3 linked regions of the Drosophila melanogaster genome follow. The protein of the gene in region 3 interacts with the protein of the main gene of each other region in a pairwise test. Each region holds a gene or a part of one and is shown on either strand. Other genes may lie near its edges. The genes, in order: CG32772, CG14153 and EMC2A.

Region 1 (7,778 bases), on a different chromosome or scaffold from region 3:
GCAAATAAACTATATATACATATATGTATTATATAAAACTGATCGCTTGTGTCACTTCTGAAATATTTATATATATATATTCAAAATATATAACAAATTTCACCCATTCAGAAGAAATCTTTCGTTGTAATGAAAATTTGTCGGCTTGTTTTCGTTTCTTAATGTTGATTTTTTGTAATGGTTTATTAAAAAAAAAATAAAAACACTTAAGCTAATGCCTAACATAAATACATACCGAATTTAATCGAATTGTTTTTCACTTCTTGTTTTCGTTACTTTTCTCTATGCGTAATTACTATCAATTGTAGGTAATTTGTATTTGCTTTCTGTTTTTTTTTTTTTTTTGTTTTTTCAACATTATATTTTCCGTTTCGCTGCGCCTTTGCATTACAATAAAATTTTAATTCGATTTAAGTTTTACAGATTTCTCAACCCGATCTCATGTTTATATAATATAATGTATATATAGATGTGGGTGTTATGTGCATAATTTTATAAGTCAGTTGTGTTTTTGTCTGTCCATCTGGTGCTGCTGCTTTTTCTCCTTATCTCTTTCGATGTCATGCATTGCTGCTAATATTCTTGGAAATTTATTCAGGGGCATTTGGTTCCTCTATTGCTTTGGCTGCTGAATTCAAAACAGGAAGTGGGAGACAGACACCAAACTGAACCAGCAGCTTGCCGCCGACTCTAAATTCGGGATGTTTTGGAAGTCCACTCGCCGATTTCAAGATAATTAAGTGGATTCTGATACCCAAAAAGTTGATGCTGAACTCAATGCGAGAGTAGGACAAGTGCATCTCAGAAAAACTAAAAGCTAGCTTTAATCGATGAACTCGACTAACTCCCCCATTCCATTCTGATTCAGAATTCAAGGACGAAAACGCTTCCTACTGCCTGTTCCATACCTTTTTTTCACCAATCCAGCATACGCTTAACTCCACGGGTAACGCATATAAAGAATGATTTCTACATCAACTTCAGACACCCAAAAGTATTTAGAGATCTGCAGAGACTCCAAAACATCCGCGCCATATATCTAACATATTTTACGTGTGTATGTGCTGAATGTGATGCTACTTTGGCTATGGCTATGCTAATCAGGGACTTTAGCAGCTGATCGTTCGGGGCTTAAGCTAAAAGAGACCTTCTTTCCATTCTTAACTAGCCTACTTAGTGGGTATGAAACGCGCCTTGACCGCCTGTCCCATCGGCAAGTGCAGCAGTTGCTGCTGCTGCGCCGCCTGCTGCTGTTGTTGCGCCGCCTGCTGCTGCTGTTGTTGTGCCGCCTGCTGCTGCGCCTGCTGCTGTGCCGCCTGCTGCTGCATGTGCTGATTGATCTGCTGCTGGATGGACAGGCCGCTGACATTGCTGATATGCTGGCTGTGGAGCGATTCGTTGATCTCGATCTTGATGGCCGTGGCGGCCAGCGTTGTCGCCTTGTTCTTGTTCTTCGGCGGACGCCCACCTGGATATGCAACGAAAGGCGTAGTGAGATTCAAAGTGAATGAGTGAATGGTGAGCACTTACGTTGCCCTGTCGTGTGCTGCAGTGACAACGGCTGGCCGATCATCGCCAGCGGCTGTTGCGACGTCTGCAGCGTGCCCGCCTTCTTGGATCGCTTCGGAGGCGGCAGCTCGTGGTGGGCGTGATTGGTGAGCAGGTGCTTGGAGAGGTGCTGGCGCACCGCAAAGGACTCGGCACAATTGGCCACCGGACAGGAGAGGTAGCGACCCTCGACATGGCGCTGCACGTGCTTCTTCAGCAGCGACTCCTGATTGAAGCTACTCGGGCAGATGTCGCACTTGAACTTGAACTCGTCGTGCATCTTGAGGTGCTGGTCGAGATGGGCCTGCTGCAGGAACTTCTCGTCGCACTTGTCGCACTCGTACGGAAAGGCCAGGCCGTGGGTCTTCATGTGCGTATGCAGCTGCGACTGCAGTTTGAAGTTCTTCTCCGGACAACGCGGACAGTAGTAGCCGGTGACCCCAGCGTGCGCCTGCAGGTGCTGGTTCAGCGAGGTCACCTGCGTGAACTTCTTGTTGCACACGTTGCAGCAGTACTGCTGCACCTTGTGGTGCGACTTCATATGGTTGTTCAGGTTCGTCACCTGCAATGCGAGAACATATCGAGCCGTTATTATCATAAATCCTCTGCAATTTATCAATTTATCTTGGAACTGACCTGGGCGAAGCTGCGACCGCACTCCGGTTCATTGCAAACGAAGGGCCGTTCGCCGGTGTGCAGCCGGCGGTGATTGTTCAAATTGGTGATCTGCGTGAAGGTCTTGCCACAGTCCACGCACTGATATGGCCGATCGTTCGTGTGGATGCGTTCGTGGTTCCGCAAGTTGGCCGCCTGCGTGAAGCCTGAAAATCCAAGAGGTACATCGATTGTTAAGAACCAGATGATGTGTGCGAACGGCATATGGGACTCACCTTTGTGGCAGTAGGTGCACACAAACTTACGCTCCGCCGAGTGATTTCGTATGTGCGTCATGAGCGAGGATTTGCGCGAGAAAGTTTTGTTGCATAGCGGGCAGGAGCCCTCCTCGTTGAATATCAGATCCACCTTAAAGAAACAAATCGAACATTAGTTGCAAAGGGCTTGCCTTCTACCGCGGGTTACCTTCCATCAGAAAGGCATTATATATGATATGCCATTTTACTTTAATACAACCTACTATAAATTTATGCGAAAAACCTTTTTTCTAAGCTGTACATTATATATGCATATAGTTCTAACGAATAAGTAGCCAAGTGCACATCACTGTGTCACTATCGCCCTCCCACTCCCACTCACGCTCAACAAGCTGGCGGCCAAAAGAACGGATTGCAAATTCCCGTGCGAATTCAGTTTGTTTATTGGGGAATCACTTGAGTTACATTTAATATTTTTCACGAGCTTTTTTTTTATTATAATTATTTTATTTATTTTTCTGCGTGCCACGCACACCCACACACCAAAAGCGCCAACTGAAAATGAATTTTTTCCGCTTTACACAGCGCACAAAAACGCCGAGCTGCGTCGACTTCGACGTCGACGTCGACAGAGCAGATATTAATGGAAAAAGAAGCACAAAATATATGTGTATATACATATATCTATATATATATATATATATACATATAAATATAAAGGAAAACAAGAAAATGAGCAGTGCGAAATGTAGCAAGTGGAATAGAAAATACTCTCACGCTCAACACTTTTCTAACCCGTTTGTAATGCATATCTGTAGGGCCTACCGTTTTTAATCTTCTATAAGAACTTTCCAACACTACCACGTCGACTGTGTGATGGAATGAGACTGTACTGAAGTTTTTTTTTTGAAATTTATGTAAATAGCAGCAATAGTAAATAGTATCTAAACATGTCTGCAATAGAGCATTCCCAAGTCGTCGCAAGGCAATTTTACATTTATTTATACATTTTTTTTTTTTGCAATTCTCTGTTGCATGATGGAAAAAGAAAGGCAACAAGAACATGCAAAGAAACGGCGAAATAAGAAGTGAAGAAGAAAAGCAGCGGCTATGAATGTGCAGTGTGTCCGTGTGCATTTATGTATATGTATATGTAAGACTTTTGTGAGCGGGGGAGTAGTAGTGAAATGTAAGAAAATGAAGAGAAAATAGCACAACAATAATAAACAAGTGCAGCAAAAGGAGCAGGAGTCGAACTCCCTGGGAAGTAAAGCACTCTTCTGAAAACGGTTGATGGGGGTCTTCAAACCCCTATAATTCCAAATGCAATGCATCTACTGAGGATTGCAGTGAACTCTGTAATTAGGTTTAAATTGTCAATTTTTTTGAATCATTTATAGTTTGATGGGCAATTGCATTGATTGGATTCCTAAACCATAGAACACTTTTCGTGGACTATTAAACATTAGGATTAAATTTTAAATTTATTCATAGATATTAATATACATATTCAAGACGTTCATATTTTAGTTGAAAATAAGAACGACCTTCAGTTATTTACTTTATTTATCTCCTTTAGTAAGCCCTTTGCAGCACTGTATTCGCTGCCACTTCTTGCCATGCCTCTCGTAACACTACACGTAGTGCAACCCACTCACTATGCCCTTTGCAACACTCTCCCTGCCTTGGTATCCCAATCCCTGAAATGGACTTACGTCTTCGGAGTCGTCCTGCGACTGTAGGTTCTCGGAAGAACTGGATGATTGCATTTGCTGCTGTTGTTGTTGTTGCTGTTGCGAGTTCTGATGCTGCTGCTGCTGCGGATTCTGATGCTGCTGCTGCTGCGCGATGGCGTCGCTGTCGCTGGAGGAGGCCGTCGACGAGGAGGTGGCCGCCGCTGCTGCAGAGGCGGCAACTGCGGCCGAGGCAGAGGCAGCGACGGCTGCAGCGGCCGCCGCCGACTGATGGAAGTTGGAATTATTTGTCAACTGCTCCGAGCAGCGGACGCACGTGGGTATGCTATAGCCGGGCACCTGGAACAACTGTAGGGCGGGGGAATAGAATAGAACAGAACAGGACACGTGAATTAGAGAGTGCTTCCAATTGGAAAAAAAAAACCAATAATGCTCTTTATTTATTGTGGCAACTCAATCTTATTCCACACATACCCTCCCCCTTCCATGCCAACTAGCCCTTTCTCTTTTCCACCAACTAGAAATAAGAGCCAAGAAGATAAACACACGCACACACACAGGCACGCACACATGGAGAGCGAAAAAGAAAGAAAAGAAACTACAATAACAACAGCACCAGCAGCTCGTTGCTTTGTTGTTGTTGTTTTCATTTCATGTTATTTTTTTTCTTCGGTACAACGTTTTGTTATTCTTTCGCTTTTTGTTTTGCTTTGCCGCCGCTCTGCCAGCGGCGGCGGCAGAGGCGTCGCCTACAAAAAAGGGGTTATTTGGTAATTGTTTAAATAATGAACTAAAAACCAAGCAAAGTTAGATCTGTTTTGTTAGTTTTATAACCGCTTAACTTTAAATTTTTGGGCTTAGATGCCCAATATAGTAAACCCTCTGTCACTAAATTAACGCGCAGCCACTGCGTATTTGGCTGCCTTGGCGCAATTTCTGTCATTTTGTTTTAATATGTATTTCTTTTTGTGCGGTTCATGGGCGGCGGGAGGGGGCTGAAAGAGGGGGGCCTGTTCGGGGGAATAGGTTGAAAAGGAGTCAAAGTGAAAAGCGAGTGGCGAGCGTAAGCAAAATGTAAAAATAATATTTTTTCAAGTTGTCGGCTTGAACAACTTTTCGGGCTGAGTTGGCTAAAAATAAAAATTGTTCAGCAATAGTTTGGGGTCGCATGTGTATGTGTATTTCTTATTTCTGTGTGTGTGCGTTTGTATGTGTGTGGGGAAAGGGGGGCAATGCGCGCGCTTTTGAACCCCGCCCCCTGCGCCAACAACCCGCCCGCACAATAACAGTAGCGCGAATTCAATTGTTTAAACTCCACCAAAAGAAAAAAAATCAATAGAAATAACAAAGTGTATATACCTAAATCACATGTGTGTATATCTTTTTTTTTTTGTTAACATACCGTTGCCGTTTGGAAGCACAATCTACAGATGGTGTCCATTATAACAGTAAATAAGGAATAGGATGGGGAGCAGGAGAAGGAGGATGCACTTTGTTGCTGACTTTTGCCCCCTCTGCGGTCGTTGTTGTTGTTGTTGTCGTCCTTCTCCCTCGCAATTTACCGCTATCTTTACCGGTTAACATTCAGCGCCGTTTTTCTTTTTCGTTTATTATTATTTAGTTCGTTTTTTTTCTATCTTTTTCCTTTTCCTTCCTACTATAAGTTTGTGAACACGATCCAAACGATGTGTGGTTGTATTTGAAACTAACTTTTTGGAGTTTGGTTTGCGTTTGGATTTCGGTGATCGCTATATGGCATATTATGATGGCAAAAACAAAAAAAAAACTATATAAATGATATAGAAATTTGATTTATACGATATTTTCGTGGTACACACACACACGCGCGTTGTTTATGTTTGCCTTGCACTTGCACATACAAGCAAAAATGCGGCGCTGTTGTTGTTGCTGCTTCGAAGTTCTGCTTCTTTTTTTTGCTTAATTCCTTTGCCCTTTTTTTGGCGTAGTTACACGTGAAAAAAAAAACAAACCAGCGCGTTCGAATGCGTTTTTTTTTTGTATTTTACAATTCACGACGAAGTTTTTGTCCGTCGTCTTTTTTCCCTTTTTTTTGGGGCCCGATGTTATTGTTGCGCTGTATGCGTGAGCCGTGTGTGTGTATGTGTGGGGAAAAAACGAATACGATAAGAATACGCGGTATAGTTGTGCTGCTCTAACCCACAGGTTGGCTTGGCCGGTGCTCCTTGGCCTGGCCTATCGATATTTCTATCGATTTCCGTAATCGAAAACGAGGCGGGTAATGGAATCGTTGTTGAAAACAAGTTTTTTAATTTATTATTTATTTAATATTTAATTGCAAGTCCGAAAGATTTATTTTATCATAGGTTATTTTATTTAAATAATTGATGGTGTTTTTTAGGCAGCCATAGAATCATGAACTTTATTTTACAACAGAATAAATATAAAATCATTTTACAGAACAAAGTGAAACAAACATAATACAAAACTTTCACAATAATTAAACAAACTATGCTAAACGATGGGTACAAATAATAAACACTTTAAATTGGATACTTTTCACAATATTAAATCTACTGTGTAATCTAATAATAAAATGAAATGGACCTTTTTTTAAATACAGTAGACAAATGTCCAGAAAAACAGATTAAAGACGAGAAAGGAGAGCGGAAAAACGAATCTGGCTCGACTATCAATCCACATGGCTATTTCCTGGGGCGTTAGCGTGGTCCAGCCACTCAGATCGATCTCCTCCTGGTGCCCCGCGCTCTCCGTTCGGTTATTGTTGGTCAAAGTTTGGCTGCTGCTGGCAGCACTGATCGCTCCAGTGGACTGGGCAGAGCCCATGGATCCAAAGGCACTCTCCACAAAGTTAACATCCATCTTCTGGACGACGCGGCTGGTCCTCTGCTGATCCAGAACTTGGCCCTCCTTAATCGTGGTGATGGGCAAATTGACGGTTAGGTAATTGTTGAAACCGGCACCGCCCAGCGAGCCGGTATCCGCTGTCTTATGCAGAGCCGTGCCCGAAAAGGATCTGGATCTGGCGTGACTGCGTCGTCTGAGCAGATTCGGCGATAGAGTTGACTTCAGGATGTGTTTGCTGTTCAGTTTCTTGACGGGCACACTCTTCTTACGACGCCAAATCGTGTTAACAAAGGCGAACTCCACCATGCTGCCAAATATGAAGATGGTGCAGCCCAGGAACCACACCTCTGACACCTTGATGTAGCTAACCTTTGGCAGAGTCTTTCCCTGTGCCGAGGCCAGGGTAATGAATGTCAGCAGGGTGCTGGTGCCCAGCGTGATGCGCGGCGGCGCCTGATCTGCTTGCAGCCAGAACGATACCCAGGATATGGCCACAATCAGCATGGAGGGTAGAAAGTAGTCCATCAGGTAAAAGCCAACCACTCGCGTCAGGTGAACGGTGAAGCTGAGGGAGCTGTAGTTGCCGGCAAAGGCTCCATGACGCAGGTCACTCAAATCGGCATTGATTACCGTCTCGTTTGACCAGGAACGCTGCAGCACAAACTCGGTGAGATGCAGTGCCCCATCGTAGGTTATCGGACGCTTCTGCTCCCAGTGGAGGACCAGTTCCGACGTATTGTACATCCAACTCTCCAGCACCGTCGAGCAGTGCTGCTCATCGAATGGGAACTTCTTAAGGTTGAGCCAGCAATAGAGT
Region 2 (4,951 bases), on a different chromosome or scaffold from region 3:
ATTGAGAAAGATTTACAAGGGTACAATTCAAAAAGTAAACAAGAGGTTATTTATGAGAGCTAACAAATGTTTATTAAGTGCGTGTGTAAAAACTATACAGCGTTTTTTTTTTTTGTGATTATTATAAAAGGAACGTTGTTCAGTATTTTTTCATTTTCCTAATTTTATTTTAAATTACCTTTTCCGTTCTTGTTTGATTATATATTACTCATTGCAACTAACGCACAATAACCACACTATTTTCCTAGCATAAACTCTTTAAAAAATGCCCACAAAATCAATAGGTTTTTAATGAAATTCAAACACTCAATTATGTTGGCTAACCTGAAGTGTTTGGCCATAACAAAGGCCTGTGAACTATGCAAACACAAACGTATCCCCGCACTGGGTTAAAACACATTACACAGAGCCACATCAGTTTCTGCGGCAGTTGGAGGATATGCCGGTTGATTGTCTGGAGTCAAATAAAATCGATTTGTTTAATGGCAAATCCCTGTGAATGGCGCATTTCCCATGGTTCGCTTCCGTTTGGCGAAACTTTCATTCAAATCGATTGTGGAGCACTATATGTATAGCTGAAAGCTGGGATCTAGGACAATCGGGTAAATAATGGTGGAGGTAGGGAATGGCGAAGTCATCGCCATCGTCGGTTTCTAGTCTCTGATGTCTAGTGTGTCTGCAACTTTGTGCTCCCGACGATAATGGTAATGATAATGGCGATGATGATGATGATGATGTTAAACGCTGCAAACTGCACGTTCATTGTGTGCTCAAAGTGTCAGCCGCCGGGCGCTCACAGATTTTCCCGTGTAAAAAGTTGCATATATGTATACACCGATATATATATATGTATGTATGTACATACTATATAGCCCAAACGTGCTTCCCAACTAACTGCCACTTCCGTTTCTCGAAGAGGAGGAGCATTGTTTCTGCGCCTTTGTTGCCACCAGTTTTCAGTGCGCCCCAAAGTATGCTGTACAATTTATTGACTTTGCTTGTAACTTGCTTCGTTTTAATGTCGCGTTTATTGCGAAAAATCTTGGGGCATCGAGAAGGCACTTGTATAGAGTACAATAAACTTGGCTTTAGTGCTCCTTTATGTAAGTTAACCACTGATATTCAAAGTTCAACGCATGCCACAGAATACAAAGAACATGCTTCAAAAAATGGGTATTTCCCTTTTAGTGAAGTTTTTTAAATTAATTAAAATCTTCTGAAAATAACTTTTATTGTTGTGTATCTCTTACGGAACTAACTAAGCATAGTTTTGTTACATACAATTATTATTATTCTTGCCTTTTAAAGGGATAAACCAATATTTACTGTGTTGGCATGTTGACTCTACAGCAGCTGCAATCTGTATCTTTATCGGATGCAATTGATCTGTTCCGAGTACAGACAGAAATAGTTTTCTTGGCACGCTTTCAACGAAAATTGCTAATGGCTCTTGAGGGGATTTATTCAATATGTTTTTTGATGCAAAGTCAAATGCAGAGTATTCCCCTACTTTTCAACAAAATCCTCGTTGGTGTTGTAAACTGGCTGCAGGCGTCTTGGATATTTACGCAAATATTCGGCAAAATGTTGGGCATATTTGGCCTGGTAATCACGACGCCTCCAGGGCTGAGCGGGTTCATAGAAATTCTCCTTATTATTGTACGTATTTAGATAGTTATTTGTGGCCAATGAGCGACTGCCGCCAATTTGGACCACTTGCTCCTCATCGCGACCCGAATCGCTGGTCTCCAATTCCGGATTCCTTTGTGGATATGGCTGAAGTTGAGGTGGAATTTGAGATTGAGGATAGCGCAGAGGTGTTGATGGCGTAGTCTCCTGTTGTTGATAGTAAAAGTAGCCGGGCACATTGTTATAGTTGTGATTGGGAGCATGTGTTGGGTCTTCCCTTCTCCAATTTGGATATGCTTGTCTATACGCAGGTTCCGCAACATAATAACCATTACTTTTTGGATACTGCTGCTGTTCCTGGGCACTGTACTGATTATCATTCACTATGATAGGCGGACCCGACCATATCGATTGTACATCTGGATTGGCATAGTTGGATTGAGCGTAGTTGGATGTGGTAATTGCATAAGCACTGCCATAAGGTGATGCATACTGAGCTCTCCCACAAACTGCATCGATCATCAGGGGCATAAGTGCACATAGCTTGGAATAATCATTAATAGATTAATCATCTCGGGTGTCCGAATGGAAATCTAGTGAAACACTCACCCAGCTCGACGAGCTGCTCTTCACGATCCGTCCTGTTTGCGGCTTCATTTCTGACTGTTCAGAACGATTTATGCTAATAACGTATTTATATGAGGTTTCACAACAGTCTCTCTGGAAAGCCATATAGTATATATAGTATAGTAATGTATAGTAGTGCATGATGTTCGTTTGCAGCAGCGCCTCTGTCAAGGTGATTGGATGAGCAAACCCCACTTTACCTGACTCAAAAATTTAGCAGGCGGCATTTCTGTAATGTTTGTATTTTTTCTCACGCACGTTTTTTTGCAGCCCTGACAGCTTAAGTGCGGCATCGTTGTTTTGGGCCTGGCCCGTAGTGGAAAACCATTTGGAAGCATTGGCAACACGGGCGGCAGGCAAATTGCGGTGTCACGTACCGCGTAATTAGTAATTAGATTTTCAAGTCAACTGTAATTAGAGGTTAACAAGAGCGAGTGTTGAAAGCAACCGATAGTTGCATACCTTATGATCTTGTTGATAAAGCTGCTTGCTAGAAGAAAAACTTACAAGTCCGTTTCCCTACATATGTATCTTATCTAAAAATATGACTGAACTTCAAAATTAGAAACAATTCGAGCTTGCTTTATTATAGTAAAGGGTATCAACGTTTTCTTACTAACATTTTGTATAAAAAATACAAATTGAAGACTTATGTTTGAAATTTAGCTGGCGTTACTTTAAAATCCAATTCACTTCTACAAATTTGGTTGCATGTAATAGATAAAGAATGCCCCATCACGTGGCACTGGAAGCTTTCTCAGGAACTCGCCACCATCGTATGAATCGCTAAATAATTGGGTTAGATTGGCGTTGGGTTCCATCTGCTTGGAAATGGGCATTCCGTGGCACGTACTATCGCGCGTTAAGAACTAGAAAAAAGAATACAAAATAATTAGATTTCAGTGAAAAGAAAAAATTGTCTAAATATGACTATAGCTTAATATTTCAAGAACGACTTGCTTTAAACGCACCATCATCTCCCTTATGGTTGTCAAATTTTGTGGTGGCGGAGGATGATTGAATGGCTCCTTATTGAATATGTTATCGCCACAGCACTTGAGCAGATGGGATGTTATTATGTTCCTAGATCTGGCCTCGTCTGCATTTTGTGGTGGTTGGCGCAGCTTGTCCATCCACATGGTGGCCATCGTTTTGGAGCGAAAGTCCAGCTGGCAAATGCTTTGCTCCAACTTCTGAATATCCTGCTCGAATTCCTCGTCGAATTTGGTGATTTCTGGATTTACCCTTTTGGAGGAAGTGGATGGCTCCTTCCTCAGATGTTCACGCTGCAATTCCTTTTCACGCTGACGTTCCTTCTCCAGTTCCTTGCGCCACTCCTGCTGATGCTGCTTTTTCTCTCGTTCCTTTTCCCTCGCGAGTTCCTTTCGCCGCTCCAGTTCCCGCTTGCGTTCCATTTCCTCCTCCCTCCTGCGCTCCTTGCGATCCTCCTTGCGCTCGGGACTCGGATTCTTTTCGGGCTTCTGCGATTCGGAATCCTCCACGACGAAGGTCTTCTGTCTGTTTCTGCGAGCGGTGCGAATCAACATCCCAAAAGTTGATTAGAAAACTAACTAAATAATTTTCAATTTACCCTTTCATGTCTCGTTTGTAAATATTTTTGAATATGTTCCTAAATCCCGTACTGTTTTGCTTGCTCATTTTGACGGATGTTTCGAAATGATGCCAGATAATATTTCATTGCTAGGCATATTGCATACCTAAAATCATGTTCAAAGTGATAAACTTATTAAGTTGTATTGTATATTTCTATTTTTCAGATGAAAACCCCCGCCATACAGAATGATTTTAGCTACTACAGACGCATCGTCAGCCGACAGCGTGTGGATTCCACGGAGAATATGCTGGTCAGCACGGAACTGGCCAACCGGATGTCCCTGTTCTACGCCCACGCCACGCCCATGCTCAAGGTGCTGAGCGAGGCGACCTCAAAGTTTGTCAATGACAATGCCGATGATGTCCAGAACACGACGGAAACGCTGGGCACCATGGCCAAGGTGTGCCTGAGGATGCTGGAAAATCCGTGAGTTTAAATGAATCACTATCAATGATAATAAGTATTCTAATCGATGGACAATATTGCTTTTAGAAAACTCCTGCAACAGATCGAGCGTGAGGACACGAAAATGCTGGTGCTGCGCGTAATGGTCGGCCTGGTGATCCTCTACGACCATGTGCATCCGGAGGGAGCCTTCGTGCGTGGCGCCCATGTGGATGTGAAGGGGTGCGTCCGACTGCTGCAGGCGCAACCGGCCATCAAGGCGGAGCCGCTGCTGAATGCCCTGCGATACACGACGAAGCATTTGAATGGGGAGAACACGCCGAAGAATATACAGCGTTTGTTGGCCGCATAATATTGGAGGGGATCGGTGGGCGCGGCCGGTGTGGGCGGAGAGTTCATTAACGTTAATTTCTATGTGTATGCGTATCGATTTAAATGGTTTTTTACCTTTATTTATGTAATTAGTAGGCTTCTGTATTATTTGTAAAAAATTGTGAGCGAGTGTTGTGCTAGCAGGAGGCAACCTCTAGTTTTATTTTTACCCTGTGTGCATTTCCAGCATTTGTTTCGTACTGTTTTAGACTCCAGCCTCCGCGTAACGTAGCAAAGAAGTCGGACAAAAAGTGGGACGCATATATCAGCAGCAACAATATTTAGTTGTTAATCTAGCCCTAA
Region 3 (5,560 bases):
ATCCATGTAATGACCAAAATATCCCGCTTCCAGCCCGTTGAATCCCTGCCTAACGGAGGTCCTCAGGAATTGTGCCAACATTCAGTCGCTGGAGAGCTTGAACTACGAATATAACGACGTTTTGCTGACCGAAGACAACGTGGGGAAGATGATTACGCCGAATCCGTATTCCTTTAGTGGCAACATTTCCATCAGCAGTTGTCCAAGTGAAGATGTATCATTTTCGGAAAGCATCCTAGAGGACAACGGACGCATTTCGCTGGCCTATGAGAACCTGAAGACAATTCCGCGGCGACTGGCCGACAAATTCGCAGCGCAGACCAAGTTTCTCGATTTGAGTCACAATGATTTCCGAAACTTGAGATTTCTCTCCTTTTTCGAGGATCTGGACACTTTAATCCTGGACCGCAACGTAAACCTGGACATAAACACTTTTCCTTATTTGCCGAGCTTAAGGATCTTGTGGTGATTACCCTGAATCTTGCATACATGGGTCCACGCAATAACACATATTCTATTCGTCTTGCAGGATCAACAATTGCGATATAGCAAATATAACCGATTGGATACACCGCATCGAACGGCACTGTCCTGCGCTGGATCAGCTCTCTTGCATGGGGAATCCTGGCATCCGCACAGTTTTCGGGGGCCAAGGACCCCGCGAGTATATACTACAGGTGCTTCCCCAGCTAAAATATCTCGATGGACTTCCAACCAGCAGGAATGCAGCTTATGCGACGCTGTCTTCCTCACAAGGACAGGGTCCGGACTCCACGAGCAATTCGGAAAAGCCTCCACTCGCATCCGCATTCACTTTCAAGGACATCATCCGTCCAAAGTATTCCAGAAAATCGCACAGCGGACGGATGTTTGGCAACGGCTCCTCCACAAACTGAAGTAATATGCCGAAGGAGGGAGGGGTATTCCACTGATTGCATTCTGTCCCATTGTTGGACTATTTTTAACCGTCCGCTGGATTATCAGCGCTGCCCTCGCTGCCCTGCAGTCGTCGATTGCACCTACAGTGCTATGCAAGTAAATATGCATATGGTTATTGCCATGTACGTATATAAATTTGCAATTGTATGACGATGGACACGCACAAACCTAGTGAGAATTAATCTAGTGCATTAAAGCAATTTTTACAATAATAAGAGTCAATGACCTCAGCGAATAGTCAAGTATACAATAGGCACCATCTTCAGAATAAATGTTCTTCGACTTATTCTGAATGTCGTTCAGTGCCCGATTAATTTTACGGATGTAAGCACATGGGCACGAGTTAATATTGCTTAAAACTTGAGGCCAAAGATTAAAAGTATGATTCAAAGCAGTTCATTGCGTTTAATCTAAATTTATTACAGGACTATTTTTGCCTACCTCAATAATAAATGTTTTAAATTATCCGGTTTCAATGCCGTCAACAATACTAGACCACCAAAAACAGTTGCTTGGATGCACTGACTATAAAATTGTTTTTACTCCTATTTCTTTAATTGTTTATCTATGTAACCTGCTTAAAGAACAGAAACTGGAAACCCACTTCTGAGAATATTTGGAACCATTACATTCTGGCATCTATTGCACAAATTATTAGTGCTTATATTGGTCAATTCGATTTAATTTCCAGGTTTCCAAAGGCAGCCTCCAAGGGTACAATCGTTTGTTTAGTCAAAAGTTGTTCGAGGGCCCATTGACTCAACTTTTGCAGCTCCTTCCGTTTGGAGCTCACAGCACGAGAGTTGTCCAAATGGTTGCAGCACAAGTAAATGCCATAAAGGGCCCTCAAGTTATGCGGATTAAGCTTCAGGGCCTGCGAATAGTAAGTGCGAGCCGATTCCATATTCTCGACGCCACCCTGAAAGAAAATTAATTCATAAGATGGACTTCATTACTGGTTAGTGGGCTTATATAGCTCACCATTGTGTATCGTATTTCTGCCAAACGCTGGTGTATTAGATGGCTATGCGGATTGTGCAGCAAAACCTCCTCCATGCAGAAGGCAGCTTTGCCAAACTCGCCTTCAGCCAGATACATGTTGCACAGCTCATGCCATGCCTCCTGGTCAGACATAAACCTGAAGGAATATTAAATAGTTATGAGATTATCGTACATGGTAAGATAAGTAGTTGTCTAGCAACCGGATGCCGGAAACTAATTTGGTTCCGTTCTTCCAAAAACACCATGAACTTAGCTTTCTTACTTCTTCAGATACTCGTTGAGCTCCTTGATGGCCTCCAGGCGACGACCACGGGCCTTAAGGATGGCAATCTTGCGCTTCCTGGGCGCGGCATTTGTCTCGTCCTTAGCAATGATTGCATCCAGGACCTCGTCGGCCTCATCGTACTGCTCCAGGGCCTCGTAGCGCATCGCTTTGAACTTCATCACGCGCAGGCTGCCCGGGAACTCGAGGGACAGCTGCTTGGTACACTTGGTGGCGATGTCAAAGCGAGCCGTATCCAATGCCGCGATGATCACCTGCTCCAGGATGAGATGCCGCTCGTTGCCGGTCTTGTGCACCTTGTCCTCTAGCACAGCAACCCACAGCTGGACCACCTCCTCGCTGTGGCGACCCGTCTCCTCGCGCCACGTTCTGAACTGATCCCGTACATCTGAAAGGATGATCATACGCTTATGATACGGCACTTTTCATTCATGGCAATTGGGAGCAACCCACTGACGTGGTCTGCACCTGTCTGGAGCCGGGAAAAGCCGAAAACTTACCCGACCAGCTCATCTTCTCATAATCTAGCGACATATTCACTTAGGCGGACTTAAATATCTCATCAATTTAATTTAATTTCCCAATTGTAATCATTAACTAGCGATTTCCTTCTTGGCAAAATAAAAGTGTGGCAGCGTAATGAGCCGTTAGATTATACCAAATAACACTAGCGTGGCGCTGCCAACCTGCTTTTTGAATATCGTAAAGTCTAGAAATGAAGTCAGAGGTAATTTTTTAAAACTTTTTATTATAAAGAGACTTCTAAAGTTAAGTTTTTCTACATATACCTTGTTTCCGATATTTGCAAAGTTAATTAAACTGTTAATACTTCTGAAATACTTGTAGGTCCTTGAAAAGGATTCTTTAATGAATTATTTTACCATGCATTAATCTTATTTTGTCCAAACTTTGTGCATTGCTTATCCATTTTAACAGATTTCTAAGTCAAGTGCACATTTGAAAAGCGCGCCAACGAAAACATGAAACATGATAGTTTTTCTTCCAGCGACGGTCACACTAACAAATCAAATAATTGTGGTACCGTCAACAAAAGCCAAGTCTCTCGTGCTCTCCGGGTATTAAAGCCGTGGAATCGGGCAGTGCCGCATGCGGTGCTGTGTTTAATTTCCCCAACTCCCAACAGATCCGGAAGCAGTTTGAACATGGGTCCGCCAAAGCAGCTGAAACGAACCTTTCTTGGCTTCGACTTGAGCACGCAAAAGGTGAGAACTGGAACTGCCTACGTAGTATCTTTGCATCTGAGATGTGGAGGCGTCTCCAAATCGACTACATCTGGGCCAATTGCGTGCGAATGGTGTTACTGGAAAAGGTCAAACGGTACTCGGGAACTTGAAACACGAACTACTCTTATCAGTTGCGGTGACCGGGGCTCGATTTTCGCTTATCTGCTAAAGACGCGAGCGCCAACCGATTTAACTATTATGGTTTGATTATTGAAATTCATGTTCGGAGGTATTGGCCCCCGACATTATCTTAATAGAGCCGCAATAACTTTCACAATCCCTGAATGACGCTGGCGGTGACTCCTAGTTGCCCTCTATGTTTGATCGTTATTTTCGAGGTGTGTCTCCATATCGCTAATTGCTGCCCCATTTACTCCTCTCAGCTCAAAGCCGTCCTGCTGGGCTCCAGTTTGGAGGTGGTTGCCGCGGCTGAAGTGAAATTCGACACCGACTTGCCGGAGTTCCGGACCACCGGTGGAGCCAACGCTGGATCCATCAAAAATGAGTGAGTCTGTTTCACCACTATCCATTACTCCAATTGAAGATTTTAATGGGATGATTGTTTGCGTAAAGCAAATAGGGGGATATATTTTACGTTTTTATATCTTGCGCTGTGGGGTATTTGTCCGATAATACTTAGGGCCCTATTTCATAGCAGTTGTTTTATTACACCACAATGGGTCTCTATCACTTCAAGTTTTTTTTAACCTTCCTATAACAGGGACCATATATACAATGGGTACTATAAAATATATATGTGCTAACCTGACTCCACCTTTACTTGTTCTTCTTTAGATACTTTGTACAACCAGTGATGTGGGTGAAGGCCATGGACATTGTCCTGGACCGACTGGTTATGCAGCAAGCGGATCTTAGCACCGTAGCTGCCATCAGTGGCTCCGGACAGCAGCACGGATCGCTCTACTGGTCCAAACATGGAATCAACACGCTGCAAAACCTCGATTCCGAGAAGTTCCTTCACGCACAAATCGACGACTCCGCCTTTGTGGTAAATCGTACTCCGATTTGGATGGACGCCACCACCACCAAACAGTGCCTAGAGATGGAGATGGCTGTTGGTGGCAAACTTAACATGGTGGAACTGACGGGCTCGAAGTGCTACGAACGTTTTACGGGTCCCCAAATTAGAAAGATATATCAGCAACGCTGCCACGCCTACGAAGAGGCCAACCGAATCTCATTGGTCAGCAGTTTTATATCATCGCTATTTCTGGGCTCCGTCGCTCCAATTGACTTCAGTGATGGTTCCGGCATGAATCTGCTGGACATCCGCAAGAAGAACTGGTCCAAAGAATGCCTAAATGTTTGTGCACCCGATTTGGACAAGCGCCTGGACATTCCGGTCAGTCCAAATTCGATTTTAGGCAACGTCTCTCCGTACTTTGTGGAGCGCTTTAGTTTTTCGCCCGATTGCAAAGTGGCTGCTAGCACGGGGGACAATCCTTCGGCGCTGTCTGGAATGTTGGTGGGCAGCAGCTGGCTTACCATTTCCATGGGCACAAGTGACACCCTAATGATGAGCTTGAAGGAGCCGCTAAACTGGGAGGAGGGTCATATACTCTGCCATCCAACTGAAACGGAAGAATTCATGGGCCTTCTATGGTAAATTATTCCTGGGACATTATATCTTAAAATTAGTTTATTTAAATGTCTTTTTCAGTTTTAGAAATGCTTCATTGGTCCGTGAGGAAATGAACAAGAAGACAACCGGCGGCGATTGGGATAAATTCAATGAGTATCTCGACTCCACGCCCCGTGGAAACTTTGGGAACATGGCCGTGCACTTTAACGACATGGAAATCATTCCCAAGGCGCAGGGTATTCTGCGATGGAACAGGGAAATGGATCCCAGTTCCCCGGACGCGGCTAGGGGTGTAATCAAGTAAGTCTGATTGAAAATTTAGCTGTTTTAGGTCCGACATGAAAGCAATGACTCATAATCAGTTAACAGACATCTGTAAATAGTTATTTTTAGAAATGACTTTTTACCAACATGATCATGTTTTTTGTCGTTTATACTTTTTCTTAATGCCTATTTCCCTTCTACTGAATTCTTTAAAATGTATAAAAT

The links.
Region 1: the proteins of EMC2A (region 3) and CG32772 interact in a two-hybrid assay, tested with the Drosophila melanogaster proteins (one large-scale study listed by BioGRID).
Region 2: the proteins of EMC2A (region 3) and CG14153 interact in a two-hybrid assay, tested with the Drosophila melanogaster proteins (one large-scale study listed by BioGRID).

What each region holds. Positions count from the first base shown.
Region 1 is NC_004354.4:4,907,536-4,915,313, reverse strand, and holds CG32772 (uncharacterized protein), read right to left. Parts: upstream 6,213-7,778; 5' UTR 5,995-6,212; exon of another isoform or gene 5,863-5,994; 5' UTR 5,556-5,862; coding exon 5,517-5,555; intron 4,463-5,516; coding exon 4,136-4,462; intron 2,934-4,135; exon of another isoform or gene 2,803-2,933; intron 2,572-2,802; coding exon 2,439-2,571; intron 2,370-2,438; coding exon 2,185-2,369; intron 2,111-2,184; coding exon 1,531-2,110; intron 1,469-1,530; coding exon 1,170-1,468; 3' UTR 153-1,169; downstream 1-152. Other genes in the region: CG6927 (uncharacterized protein), read right to left, coding at 6,707-7,778.
Region 2 is NT_037436.4:10,640,878-10,645,828, reverse strand, and holds CG14153 (uncharacterized protein), read right to left. Parts: upstream 2,302-4,951; 5' UTR 2,287-2,301; coding exon 2,239-2,286; intron 2,173-2,238; coding exon 1,507-2,172; 3' UTR 1,214-1,506; downstream 1-1,213. Other genes in the region: CG14154 (uncharacterized protein), read right to left, coding at 2,952-3,125, 3,228-3,803; CG32066 (uncharacterized protein), read left to right, coding at 4,035-4,297, 4,364-4,628.
Region 3 is NT_033777.3:16,993,202-16,998,761, forward strand, and holds EMC2A (ER membrane protein complex subunit 2A), read right to left. Parts: upstream 2,871-5,560; 5' UTR 2,759-2,870; coding exon 2,725-2,758; intron 2,613-2,724; coding exon 2,204-2,612; intron 2,078-2,203; coding exon 1,921-2,077; intron 1,859-1,920; coding exon 1,610-1,858; 3' UTR 1,341-1,609; downstream 1-1,340. Other genes in the region: CG31274 (uncharacterized protein), read left to right, coding at 34-465, 530-896; CG3534 (uncharacterized protein), read left to right, coding at 3,388-3,447, 3,852-3,973, 4,264-5,091, 5,150-5,371.